Linked DNA regions of Macaca fascicularis. The protein of the gene in region 2 purifies or fractionates together with the protein of the main gene of each other region. This does not show direct contact. Links are inferred from orthologs where the notes say so. Each region holds a gene or a part of one and is shown on either strand. Other genes may lie near its edges.

The links.
Region 1: the proteins of SRF (region 2) and MRTFA purify together in Homo sapiens (affinity purification with western blotting; 4 studies listed by BioGRID and IntAct, with this or other methods). This does not show direct contact. The link is inferred for Macaca fascicularis from reciprocal best matches to the Homo sapiens genes SRF and MRTFA.
Region 3: the proteins of SRF (region 2) and MYOCD purify together in Homo sapiens (affinity purification with western blotting; 3 studies listed by BioGRID and IntAct, with this or other methods). This does not show direct contact. The link is inferred for Macaca fascicularis from reciprocal best matches to the Homo sapiens genes SRF and MYOCD.

Annotation. Positions count from the first base shown.
Region 1 is NC_088384.1:11,216,553-11,220,196, reverse strand, and holds part of MRTFA (myocardin-related transcription factor A), read right to left. Parts: intron 3,524-3,644; coding exon 2,501-3,523; intron 1,588-2,500; coding exon 1,435-1,587; intron 1,143-1,434; coding exon 1,082-1,142; intron 1-1,081. UniProt on the Homo sapiens protein: Transcription coactivator that associates with the serum response factor (SRF) transcription factor to control expression of genes regulating the cytoskeleton during development, morphogenesis and cell migration.
Region 2 is NC_088378.1:128,360,647-128,364,390, forward strand, and holds the start of SRF (serum response factor), read right to left. Parts: upstream 2,186-3,744; 5' UTR 1,800-2,185; coding exon 1,287-1,799; intron 1,059-1,286; exon of another isoform or gene 991-1,058; coding exon of another isoform or gene 877-990; intron 1-876. UniProt on the Homo sapiens protein: SRF is a transcription factor that binds to the serum response element (SRE), a short sequence of dyad symmetry located 300 bp to the 5' of the site of transcription initiation of some genes (such as FOS).
Region 3 is NC_088390.1:12,813,129-12,816,772, reverse strand, and holds part of MYOCD (myocardin), read right to left. Parts: intron 3,217-3,644; coding exon 2,960-3,216; intron 1,842-2,959; coding exon 1,688-1,841; intron 1-1,687. UniProt on the Homo sapiens protein: Smooth muscle cells (SM) and cardiac muscle cells-specific transcriptional factor which uses the canonical single or multiple CArG boxes DNA sequence. Acts as a cofactor of serum response factor (SRF) with the potential to modulate SRF-target genes.

The DNA.
Region 1 (3,644 bases), on a different chromosome or scaffold from region 2:
GCTCAGCCCCGACCTCTGCTCCCTCACCTCACGCCCTGGGCAGCCTCCCAGCTCCAACTGCCAATCTAGATGCGACAACACCCCAACTCCTACATGCAGCCCAGACCTCTCTTACAAATGCCACTCGATGTCAACTGTCCCTGTAAACCCTCCACTCATGACACACCCCATCAGGGACTGCACAATGTGGTCCCACACGTGCCCCCTCCCCAGCTCACCCCATCAATGGCTGCTCCACCCTGGCCCTTCAGGCTACAGCCCTTGAAGTCATCCTTGGCTGTTGCTTCCCTCTCTCCACACCTCATCCATAAACACACCAACCTGGCTCTTTCCAAATGGGGCCGACTCCAGCTGTTCCTCCGCCTGCCACTGCTGCCTGCTGGGCCACAGCCCTGCTCTCCCACCACCCCCAACCTGGGGCTCCCTGCTTCTGCCCTTGCGCAGCTGCTATCGCTACAGCAGCTGGAAGGTTCCTGGGTCCTGCATCAGACCAGGCCACTCTACCCAAGGCTGTGCGATGGCTTCCCACACAATGGAGCCAAAGCCACCCTGCCCTGATGCCCAGGAGGCCACGCATGATCTGGCCACAAAGCCCTTCTTTCCCTTTCCTCAACTACACTCCAACTCGCCAGTCACTCCCAAGGCCGCACAGATGCACACAGCTGCTCCTGCTCACAGGAGCCATCCCGGCCCTTCCCCACCAGGCTCCCCAGACCTCTCCCTCCCCTCCGTTTTTGTCCTAAGGCTCCTCTCGGATCTTCCATATGATCTGCTTATTTCTTCTACTTGTTGTCCACCTCCCCAGGCTGCACTGTGAGCTCCACAAGGGCAAATGTCTCTTCTGCTCATTGGCAGGCGAGGGCCTTGGGGCAGTGCTCCCTGCTGAATGAAGGACGACACCTTCCCTGGTCCTCTCATCCAGGCCCTGGAGACAGGAGGGCTCACAGCCACCACTGCATCCACAGTGCTTGCCCAAGACCAGTCACGCATGGAAGCATTCAATAAAAACAAACCAACCCAGGGCTAGAGACACCTATGAACAGAGAAGGCTGTCAGGAGGCAGCAGGGGATCTGGGGTTACCTCCGCTCTGAATGAGAATGTCAAACAGGTCGTCCATCTGCTGGCTTGAGGAACCATTTTCCTGCGGGACAAAGAAAAAAAAAAAAAAAGATGAAACTCTTGAATGGGGGCTCCCAGCCTGAACTATGAATGAGGCCCCTCCCTCTACCAGAATAAGCAGCCAGATCCACAGCACCCACGGGCATGTCCGGACTCCTGGTGCCCATCCCCCAACGGCCCACTCCCCAAGGCCTCTCTGACCCTGAAGCTGGGCTTCACCTGCCCCCTTTTCCTGCAGCTGGGGCTGTAGGAACCTCAGCCCAGCAGCCTAGGGCAGCCGCCCACAATGGCCAGGCCCAGCCCGCCTTCCTCACCTGCTGTTTGGGCTGCTGGCTCATGGCTTCCTCATAGCCAGGTGGTTCCTTCTTCAGCAGAGAAGTGGGGGTCCCAAAGACGGGCTGCAGTGGGTGCTCTAGGTCCATCTGGGCAGAGGCGGCAGGCACTGGAGAGCCAGGCTGGGATGAGGGCTGGACAGGAGAACAGGGAGAGGACCAGTGGCCAGGGGGCTGGGGGTACAGACCTGCCTTGTAGGGGTGAGGGGTGGGGATAAGGCCAGGGCCTCTCACACTCCAGGAGGGCAGATGGGGGGCACTGGCTTTTAGGGAGCTTTCGTGAAAGCCACTAGGTAAGAAGGAATACAGGATGGGGGACCCTCAACCCTGCAGGGGGTGCCTGGCCTCTTGAGGTTTGGGAGAGGTCTCTGCGCTGGGCTGGTCACTCCCTGAGATTTCTGCAGCTTCTTTCTCTGCTTGGGTCTGCTCAGGGACCCCCATCTCCTATCCTGAGGTACCTGTTCCTGTCACTGTCTCCTCCACCCCCAAGTTCTGCAGGACCACAAGGCTACATAAAGCCTTAGGGCAGCCTCACCTGTGGCCCAGGCTGAGAGAAGGTCTGCTGGGGAGCTTTCTGCTGCTGACACCTCGGTGGGGAGAGCTGGCCTCTCTGAGGGGAGGACCCTGAGCTGGATCCTGGCCAGAGGACCCCACAGCCTCTCCCCAGGGCAGGCTACCTCTGACCTTCACTGGCCACTCCCCATAGAGCAGCACTAAGGCAGGCCCAGCCTGGTGTGGGCTGCTCAGGAGTCCTCTGCTGAGATGCAAAAATGTTCTAGTCTCAACAGCCAGAGAGGTGGAGAGCTCGCCAATGGTTCCGCCCTACGGCTAAGGGGTCTCAGGCAGGTGCCTTAACTTTCCTAAGTCTCAGTGCTCCCCGTGGTGAGATGGGGATAACGACCGCTCATTTCAGAGGGTCGAAAGGAAGATTAAACGAAGCAAACACAAAATGCCCAGCACGAGGGGACCCCTGGCCCACGAGGGCTGCAGCGAGACGCTCTTCCCACCCTCCTCTGGGCCCTGCCCGGTTCCTCCCATACCCAGGTACCTGCTGGGGGCTTCCACTGGACAGGCCAGGGCTGTCTGCATTCTTATTGGTCACGGTGAGGACAAGGTGGGTCCCTGTGGAGTCAGTGATGAGGGTGGGAGGTGCAACCCCCTTGATGAGGCCAGGGCCCTGAGGACCCAGAAGCAGCTGGGGGGCGGGGACCGGCTCGGGCTCAGGCTGCACAGCTTCCTGCTTCACCACCACGGACGGGGGCCCCGGGGCCGCAGCACAAGGGTCTACATGGTTGGTGGTTGGGGCCGCCAGGCTGGGGCTGAATGGGTGAGCAGGGCCCAAGGGCTGTCGGCTCAGTTGGCAGCTGGAGAAGCTGTTCTCCTGCTTCACTGGCATGCCGAGAGGGGCAGGGGTGGGGACAGGAGTTGGGGCGGGCTGCTGGGCTCGCTTCTCCTGCTCCAGCTGCAGCCTGAGCCGCTCCACCAGCTGCTGCTTCTGCCGGAGCATGCGCGTCAGCTCCTCGATCTGCTTGTCTTTCTCCTGCAGCATCTGGTCCTTGTCGCGCCCCTCTAGCTCTGCCCGCCCCCCAGGGCTCAGGCAACAGGACCCGGCCCGGGGGCCCTCCTCCTTCACGAGGATCTGCAGTGGCGAGGCCTGCAGAGTCAGCTGCGTCAGGGGAGACGTCACCATCTCACCAAAGGTGTCCCCGGGGGTGGAGTTTTCATCGCCGGTGCTGAGCAGTGAGCGCTCTGAGGGGGTAGGAGACACAGGCGGTGTGGAGCCTGTGCTGCCAAATTTCACCACTCCATTGCTGGTCACCGTGGCCACCACCACCTCAGTTGGGGCCAGGCCTGCTGCCACCAGAGCTGGCCCTGTGCTCAGCCGGGCCGCCGGGAAGGCTACCACCACCTCGCCAGCCTTGTGCAGGATAGAGGTGGTGGCAGGGGCCTTGGGGGCTCCTGGGACAGGGCCGATTTGGTCTTGGTAGGCTCGAAGGCGCTCAATCAGCTCAGTTTTGGTGCCTGAGACGGGCAGTGATCGCAACTTCAGCTCCTGCTTCAGCTCTGCCACCTGCAAGGCAGTCAACAGTCAGGGAGGCCAGGGGCAGCTGGACACAGGGCACTGGGTCCAGGCAGAAGGGCACTTCAGATGCATCAACTACCCTAATCCTCCAGCACCCTGGAGGGCGCAA
Region 2 (3,744 bases):
ATTAGTGATAAGGGACCACTTAAGCTCCAACTGTCCCATGTTTCTTTCCAGAAACTGCACAGGCTCCAACTTGTTGCCATAGCCTAGTTTCTCCTGTTGTCCTGTAATACTTTACTGCCTTTTTTACTTTGTCTTGGGAAGAAGGTTATGGAAGGGGAGAAGAGAATTTTCCTTCATTAACTACCTCCCCCCACAACCTTCTCCACTGATGATCAAGTGACAAGGGACATTGATACAACAGTGTCTAGAGTGAGGGGAGACGAGACCTAGATTAGCACTAAACATCCTGCCATGAGCCCAGGAAGGGGACCTTCAAGGATGGCCCCACAGATGCCATACTCTCCCAACAAAGTTCTACGAACCACCTTGGAAGCAGCTCTGGTTTCTACATGGGACAGAAATAAACACCAGCCAATGTTCCCAAGGATCCAGCTACTTGTCTCCCAATTCTTCTGCTTTCATCCCTTCCCTTATCATCTACACCCCAAAATGACTCTTTTCCTCACCACTTTTCACTGGCTGGCAGAAGAGGAATTCCTAGGTACCTCTGCAAGCCTCCCCGATTTCCCCCAAACCCCATCCATGCATAGATTCTCCCTAGGGCTGGAAACCCCACTTGTCCTAACGGCAGGAGATTCTGCAGCGGGTCCTGCCAGGAGCAGCATGTGGTTCCCAGCGGATGCCATGGAACACTCACGGCCGGCGCGGGACTAGGTTCCTGCTGCTCAGGGCAGCACCAGTTCTCCTGCCCCGCTCCCTTACCTGGTCCCTAACCCTGCCTGTCCTTCCAACCAGCACTACTCTCGTGGTGCCCATTTCCTCCCACACATGCTCGCTCATTGTTGTCATGCAGCTCCAGCCTCCTCACCTCCATACCTTCTCGTTTGCTCCCTGCTTTTCCAGCGCCCTCCTCCAAACACCGGAGTGCACTGGACCTACTGATCCCGGCTTCTCATTATTCACCTCCCCGGCAGCCTCGCAGCCTCCCATGACCGCTCCTCAAACCTCCACTCAACAAGGGCCCTCCTTCCTCTCTCGCGCCGGTCACTCCCACCTCTGCGCCTTTCCCCAAGGTTCCCGGCGTTCGCGGGATCTCCCCTCTCCCCACATTTCCCCGGCGGCCCCTCCCCTTCGGCCCTCCCCGGGTAGGAGCCATCCCCTCCCACACACCTCCTGCGGACTCGCCGCCTCTCACCTCCGCCTCGGCTCTGCCGTCCTCCCGGGCTCCCCTTGCGCATCCCCACCCTTCCCGGGCCCCGGGGCCAGCCAGCCCGCCGGCTTGGTACCTTCTTCATGATGCCCGTCTTCCTCTTGCTGAAGGTCGTGTAGCGCCGCAGCTTGTTGTCGATGAACTCCATCTTGATCTTCACGCGGCCCCGGGTCTTCTTACCCGGCTTGGCCCCGCTCACCGCGCCGCTCACCGGCCCGTAGCCCCCGGTGGCCGCCGCCGACGCCTCGGGCCCACCGACCACCATACCGATCTCCATCTCGCTCAGGCTCCGCTTCATGCCGCGCCGCTCGGCGCCCAGCTCCTCCTCCTCGCCCGACTCCGAGTCGCCCTCGCTGCCGCTGTAGAGGGCCCCCGCGGTGGGCGCCGGGGTGGTTGCCGCCGCTGCCGCAGCCTCCCGCTCCAGGCGGCCGGGCCCGAGCCCCGCGCCATTCCCGGGGACCCGGCCCCCGTTAGCCCCACGAGTCCCGCCGCCGCTGCCCGGCCGCCCCGTCGGGGTCCGGTTCAGGCTGCCCCCCAGGGCCGAGCCCCGGCCCAGAGCCGCCGCGGCCCCAGCTTGGCTCGGTAACATGGCGCTCGATGCAGGAGGGCGGACGGGCAGTCAGCGAGGAATCGGAGCCGCAGCCGCCGCCATCGGCTTCCCGGCTCAACCCGGCACTCCCGCTGCTGCTAGTGCCGCTATCGCTGCCGCGGCAGCCGCTGCGAACCCGGGGCCCCTGCACGCCCGGGCCGACCTGGGCCCTCACTTTCCTGCCCCTGTGGCCCGGGTTGCCCCAGGCCGCGCGCAGCGCCCCCTGTCCGTCTGCTAGGGCGGCGCGCCCGGCGGCCTTCAGCGTCCCCCGGGGGGCAGGGGCTGCTGGCCGCGGCCGAGACGGCGGGTGGAGGGGGCCGGGACCACGCGCTGGCGGCGGAGGGATCCCCCGACCCTTCCCCCCATATAAAGAGATACAATGTTTCCTTTTATGGCGAGGCCGCTCCTTATATGGTGAGCCCCAGCGCCCCCGCCCCATTGGTCCATGGTTCCGGCACCTCCGCTCCCCATTGGCCCGCAGGGGAGCGCTTATTTGCATAGACATACCAAACTCGTTCCTGTCCTCTCGCGTCAGACCGCGACTCCGAGAGGGGTGGAGCCGACGCCTCTTAAAGGAACCGGAGAGCAGGCGCGACTCCGCCTCCCTGAACCCGAGAATGATAGAACGGTTTGGGAAGCACCCGCGGAGAAGTAGCCTGGGACTGGAGCGCAGTCTTGCGGAAGAGAGGGAGCAGCACTAGGAAATGGGCTCCAGCACCGGGACCGCTGGAGACAAACACTGGGGAAACCCCTAGGTGGATTGTGGGGTTTGCAGTCAATTAAAAAAATACAGCCCAAATTCCAAGGGAGGAGTGCAGGGATTGATTGGAGCATTTCCTCACGCCTTCCTAAGGGAGGCACAGTTATTGGCTGAGCGGAGGGAGCTTGGATCCCCGGTGTCCAGACTCGTAGCACCCCAGCCGCTCAGCTCTAACTTTTCCCCTCCCCCCAACTTCCCCTCCCTTTCCCTTGCTTTTGTAGGCGACGACACTTTCCCACCAGGCTGGCTCGCGGGTCCTCATTCATCATCCTCTGCACTGGGGGGTCTTTGGCAGACATACATCTGGAAAAGGCGGGTGGAGGGGAGGGCGAGAGACAGAGATCGGTCTCCCAGTCCCGAGGCGGGCAGGGAGGAGAGACGGAGATCATTGAAGACTTCCAGCTGCAGGCTGGGCTGGGGGAGGGGGGCGTCCCGAGGATAAAGCCCACCCTACAGCCAGTGCAAAGACGGGAAATTGTGGCCCGACAGAAAGTTTATGCAAGCAAGCACGCTCACGCACACACACGCACCTACACACCCTTCTCTGGAAAGCCCGTTGGAGAAAGAAAAAAAAAGTTTCAGACAGGGTATCGCTCAGTCGCCCAACCTGGAGTGCAGTGGTGTGATCTGAGCTCATTGCAACCTCCGCCTCCCGGGTTCAAGCGATTCTCCCACCTCTGCCTCTCACGTAGCTGGGACTACAGGTGCGCGCCACCACTCGGGCCTAATTTTTGTATTTTTTGTAGAGATGGGGTTTTGCCATGTTGCCCAGACTGGTCTCGAACTCCTGGCATCAAGCTATCCTTCACCCTCGGCTTCCCAAAGTGCCGGGATTATAGGCATGAACCACTGTGCCTGGCAGAAAAAAAAAAAAAAATTACTTAAAGAATAGAACTGGGGTGCTGCAAAGTGAGGTTCAAGCTCTGGGTCTGGATCTTTTCTCCAAAGCAGTGAAAATAGCATGGACTTTGCTGTTACCGAATTATTTAAATCTGGAATCTGCCTCTTGGTAAGCCCTGTGCCTGGAAACAAGTGACAAGTGATCTGATCACTCCAAACGCAATATTAATCAATGTTGCTATCCATTCCATGAGATTTTTTTTTCTTTTTCTTTTTCTTTTTTTTTTTTTTTGAGACAGAGTCTCACTCTGTCACCCAGGCTGGAGTGCACTGGCACGATCTCGA
Region 3 (3,644 bases), on a different chromosome or scaffold from region 2:
TTTTTGAGACGGAGTCTCGCTCTGTCGCCCAGGCTGGAGTGCAGTGGCGTGATCTCCGCTCACTGCAAGCTCCACCTCCTGGGTTCACGCCATTCTCCTGCCTCAGCCTCCTGAGTAGCTGGAACTACAGGCGCCTGCCACCTCGCCCGGCTAATTTTTTTTTGTATTTTTAGTAGAGATGGGGTTTCACCTTGTTAGCCAGGATGGTCTTGATCTCCTGACCTCGTGATCTGCCCGCCTCAGCCTCCCAAAGTGCTGGGATTACAGGCGTGAGCCACCGCGCCCGGCTCTATGATTCTGGTTTTATTTTCACTTTTTAAACTGGGGAGACAAAACTTATCTTGTGGGGTGAAAATTAAAGCAAATCTACACAGAATAAATGACGGATGGCTCATATTAAAAAATACAAATTGGTAGGGGCTGGGCAGGGTGGCTCATGCCTGTAATCCCAGGACTTTGTGAGGCCAAGGCTGGTGAATCACCTGAGGTCAGGAGTTCAAGACCAGCCTGGCCAACTTGGTGAAACCCTGTCTCTACTAAAAACACAAAAATTAGCCAGGTGTGGTGGTAGGCACCTGTAGTCCCAGCTACTAGGGAAGCCGAGGCAGAAGAATTGCTTGAACCCGAGAGGCAGAGCTTGCAGTGGGCCGAGACTGTGCCACTGCACTCCAGCTTGGATGACAGAGCAAGACTCCATCTCAAAAAAAGAAAAAAAAGGCCGGGCGCGGTGGCTCAAGCCTGTAATCCCAGCACTTTGGGAGGCCGAGACGGGCGGATCACGAGGTCGGGAGATCGAGACCATCCTGGCTAACATGGTGAAACCCCGTCTCTACTAAAAAATACAAAAAAAAAAAAAACTAGCCGGGCGAGGTGGCGGGCGCCTGTAGTCCCAGCTACTCGGGAGGCTGAGGCAGGAGAATGGCGTAAACCCGGGAGGCGGAGCTTGCAGTGAGCTGAGATCCGGCCACTGCACTCCAGCCTGGGCGGCAGAGCGAGACTCCGTCTCAAAAAAAAAAAAAAAGAAAAAAAAAGAAAAAAAAATTGATAGGCACCATCGTCATCATCATCATCTCTTTATACCTACACTAATTATTATAACTCTCACCAGCCAATGCTTCTGAGCATGTGTATCTAGAGGGATCCACCTGCCTCAGCCTCCCAAAAGTGGGTTTTGAGGGGTCTGACAGATGGCACTATCATATCTGGATCATGTTTCTCTGTGACTAAGGCATCTCCTGTCTTACTTGTCTCCTGTCTCACTCTTATCTAGAAATAGCCTACTTAAAAATTATTTTTTACTATGGTGAAATAAACATAACGTTTGTCTTTTCCCTCTATCTCAAATGCTCTTGCCCTTCCACCTTCTGCCCTTTTACCATGGGGTGGCATTCGCCAGATACTGGTGCCATGTCCTTGGACTTCTCAGCCCTAGAACTGTGAGAAATAAATTTCTTTTCTTCACAAATTTCCCAGTTTCCGGTATCCTGTTACGGCTGCGTAAAATGGGCTATAGTCAACTGGGGTGTTCAACCACAGCAGGATAAATTCTGCCACCTCCTTCAGCGTTTCCTATGGTCTTCTTTCCCTCCCACTCTCTTACTCCAGATACCAGTTGGTCGTGGTGCTGTTAACAACATACTGTTGTATTTGTTTAAAAAAAGAAAGAAACTCATGCAAAATCCTATACCTTCAGATCATCCAGGTTAGGTGGGAGTGGGCCGGGTTTGAAAGAAGAGACACCAGTTTGTCCAGAAAAACTGTTCTTGACAGGAGACAAGGGGGTATTGCTCAGTGGCGTTGAAGAAGAGTTTGGATTTCTGACCATCTGTTCATTTGGTTCTCTAAAAGACAAACAAAGAGGCACTTCAGGTACAATCAAATATTGGTGGTATAACTTGCGTTTAGATCGGATCCCAAAGTGATGGCCTGCAAGGGTCAGGCATGTAATAAACCAGCAGAAGGGAGCAGGGTGAGGAAAAACAACAGGGCCGGCTAGATGGCAAGTGGTGTGTGACATCTGAACTTTGTTTAGGGAGATAAGAGGGAGCGGTGGGGACTGTGGCACACATCCACCTGTGATTCAGCTGCTGCTCTGTCCTGGGGAGGCCAAACCCACCTGGTGAAGCTTGGTTGTGTTTAGCGCTTGGCGTAATCGCTAGCATAGTCTGAGGAGGACAGGAGGAATCCTACCTCAACTTTACATGTAGGGATATTGACGATTTAAAAGGTGATGTAGCGATGTGGTCACACAACCTGGGCTCAAGAGTCAATCTTTGAGGATTTCTCTCCGCTGCTCAGCAATGTTCTTTCCAAAAGCAGAAGTGGATCGGAATTGCTCATAATTCCAATATCACATTCTTAGACATTCCACAGTCCAATTTGAAAATGCTAATCCTTTCCTATTTCCCAAAGGGACCTTTTACCAAGGGCACTGATTTATAGTAGTCCACCCGTTATTGGCGGTTTCACTTTACAAGATTTCAGTTACCTGAGGTCAACTGTGGTTCAAAAATAGATGTGTACAGTACAATAAGTTATTCTGAGAGAGAAACCACCACATCCACATACGTTTTATTGTAGTATCTTGCTATAATTGTTCTATATTGTTGCTAGCTATTATTGTTCATCTCTCACTGTGCCTAATTTATAAATGAAACCTTATCATAGATATGTATGCCTAAGAAAAATACACTATACGTAGAGTTCAGTACTATCTGAGGTTTTAGGTATCCACTGAGGGTTTGGAATACATCTGCAGATACATCCCAGTCTTATGGCTCTGAAAAGGTGTGCATAGTTTCTAAATTGAATCAGCTTCCAAACATACTGGATGAGGAAATGGTGCAATACAGGACTTGCTAGGCCCCATGGTGCTGGCCCCACGTACATCAGATAGATATTAACAGACACCCTTCTCAACCTCTGCCCACAGCCACTCTCCCAGGCTTGCCGGACTTACTTAAGCTGAGCTTGGTGCATCCCTGGGTAGCTGAATCGGTGTTGCTGCTGCTGCTGCTGCTGCTGGCTGAGGATTTGGAGCTGCAGGAACAGCTGCTGTTGCTGTAGCAGCCGAGCGTAGGCCGAGTCCATAGGTGGAGGGGACTTCTCTGCCTTCTGGTCTGGGGGAATGTACTGGTGATATTTAAGCTTCTTCACCTTTGGCTTGGGGTCCTTGGGCTTTTTGTGGCGGTTCTTACTGTCACCCAAGGATTTGGACTGCAAAGAGGATGAGGAAATGGCACGTGCTTTAGGCCATGACTGAGAATGACTTTGCATCATGGACACATTGTGAGGCAGTTTGGTCTGATGGCCATTCTTGAACCTCAGAAATACAATATAGCAAAGGCATGATGTACAAAGAGCTCCTAGAACACTAACATTGCTAATGAACAAATTCATTGCAAATGTATCACACTGGAAGGACACTCCTCAGACAGGGAAAGTTGAATCTTAGAAGCAGCTCCAGAATTTTTCTTTTCTGGAGTACAGCAAAACGTAATCCTGTGTTTCAATGAATGCATTCTCCTAACCTAAAACCAACTGATGGCCTAACAAAGGCTGCCTTCTGATCTTAAGACTATTTGTAGAAAGTTCCTTCGTGGCTGGGCACGATGGCTCACACCGGTAATGCCAACACTTTGGGA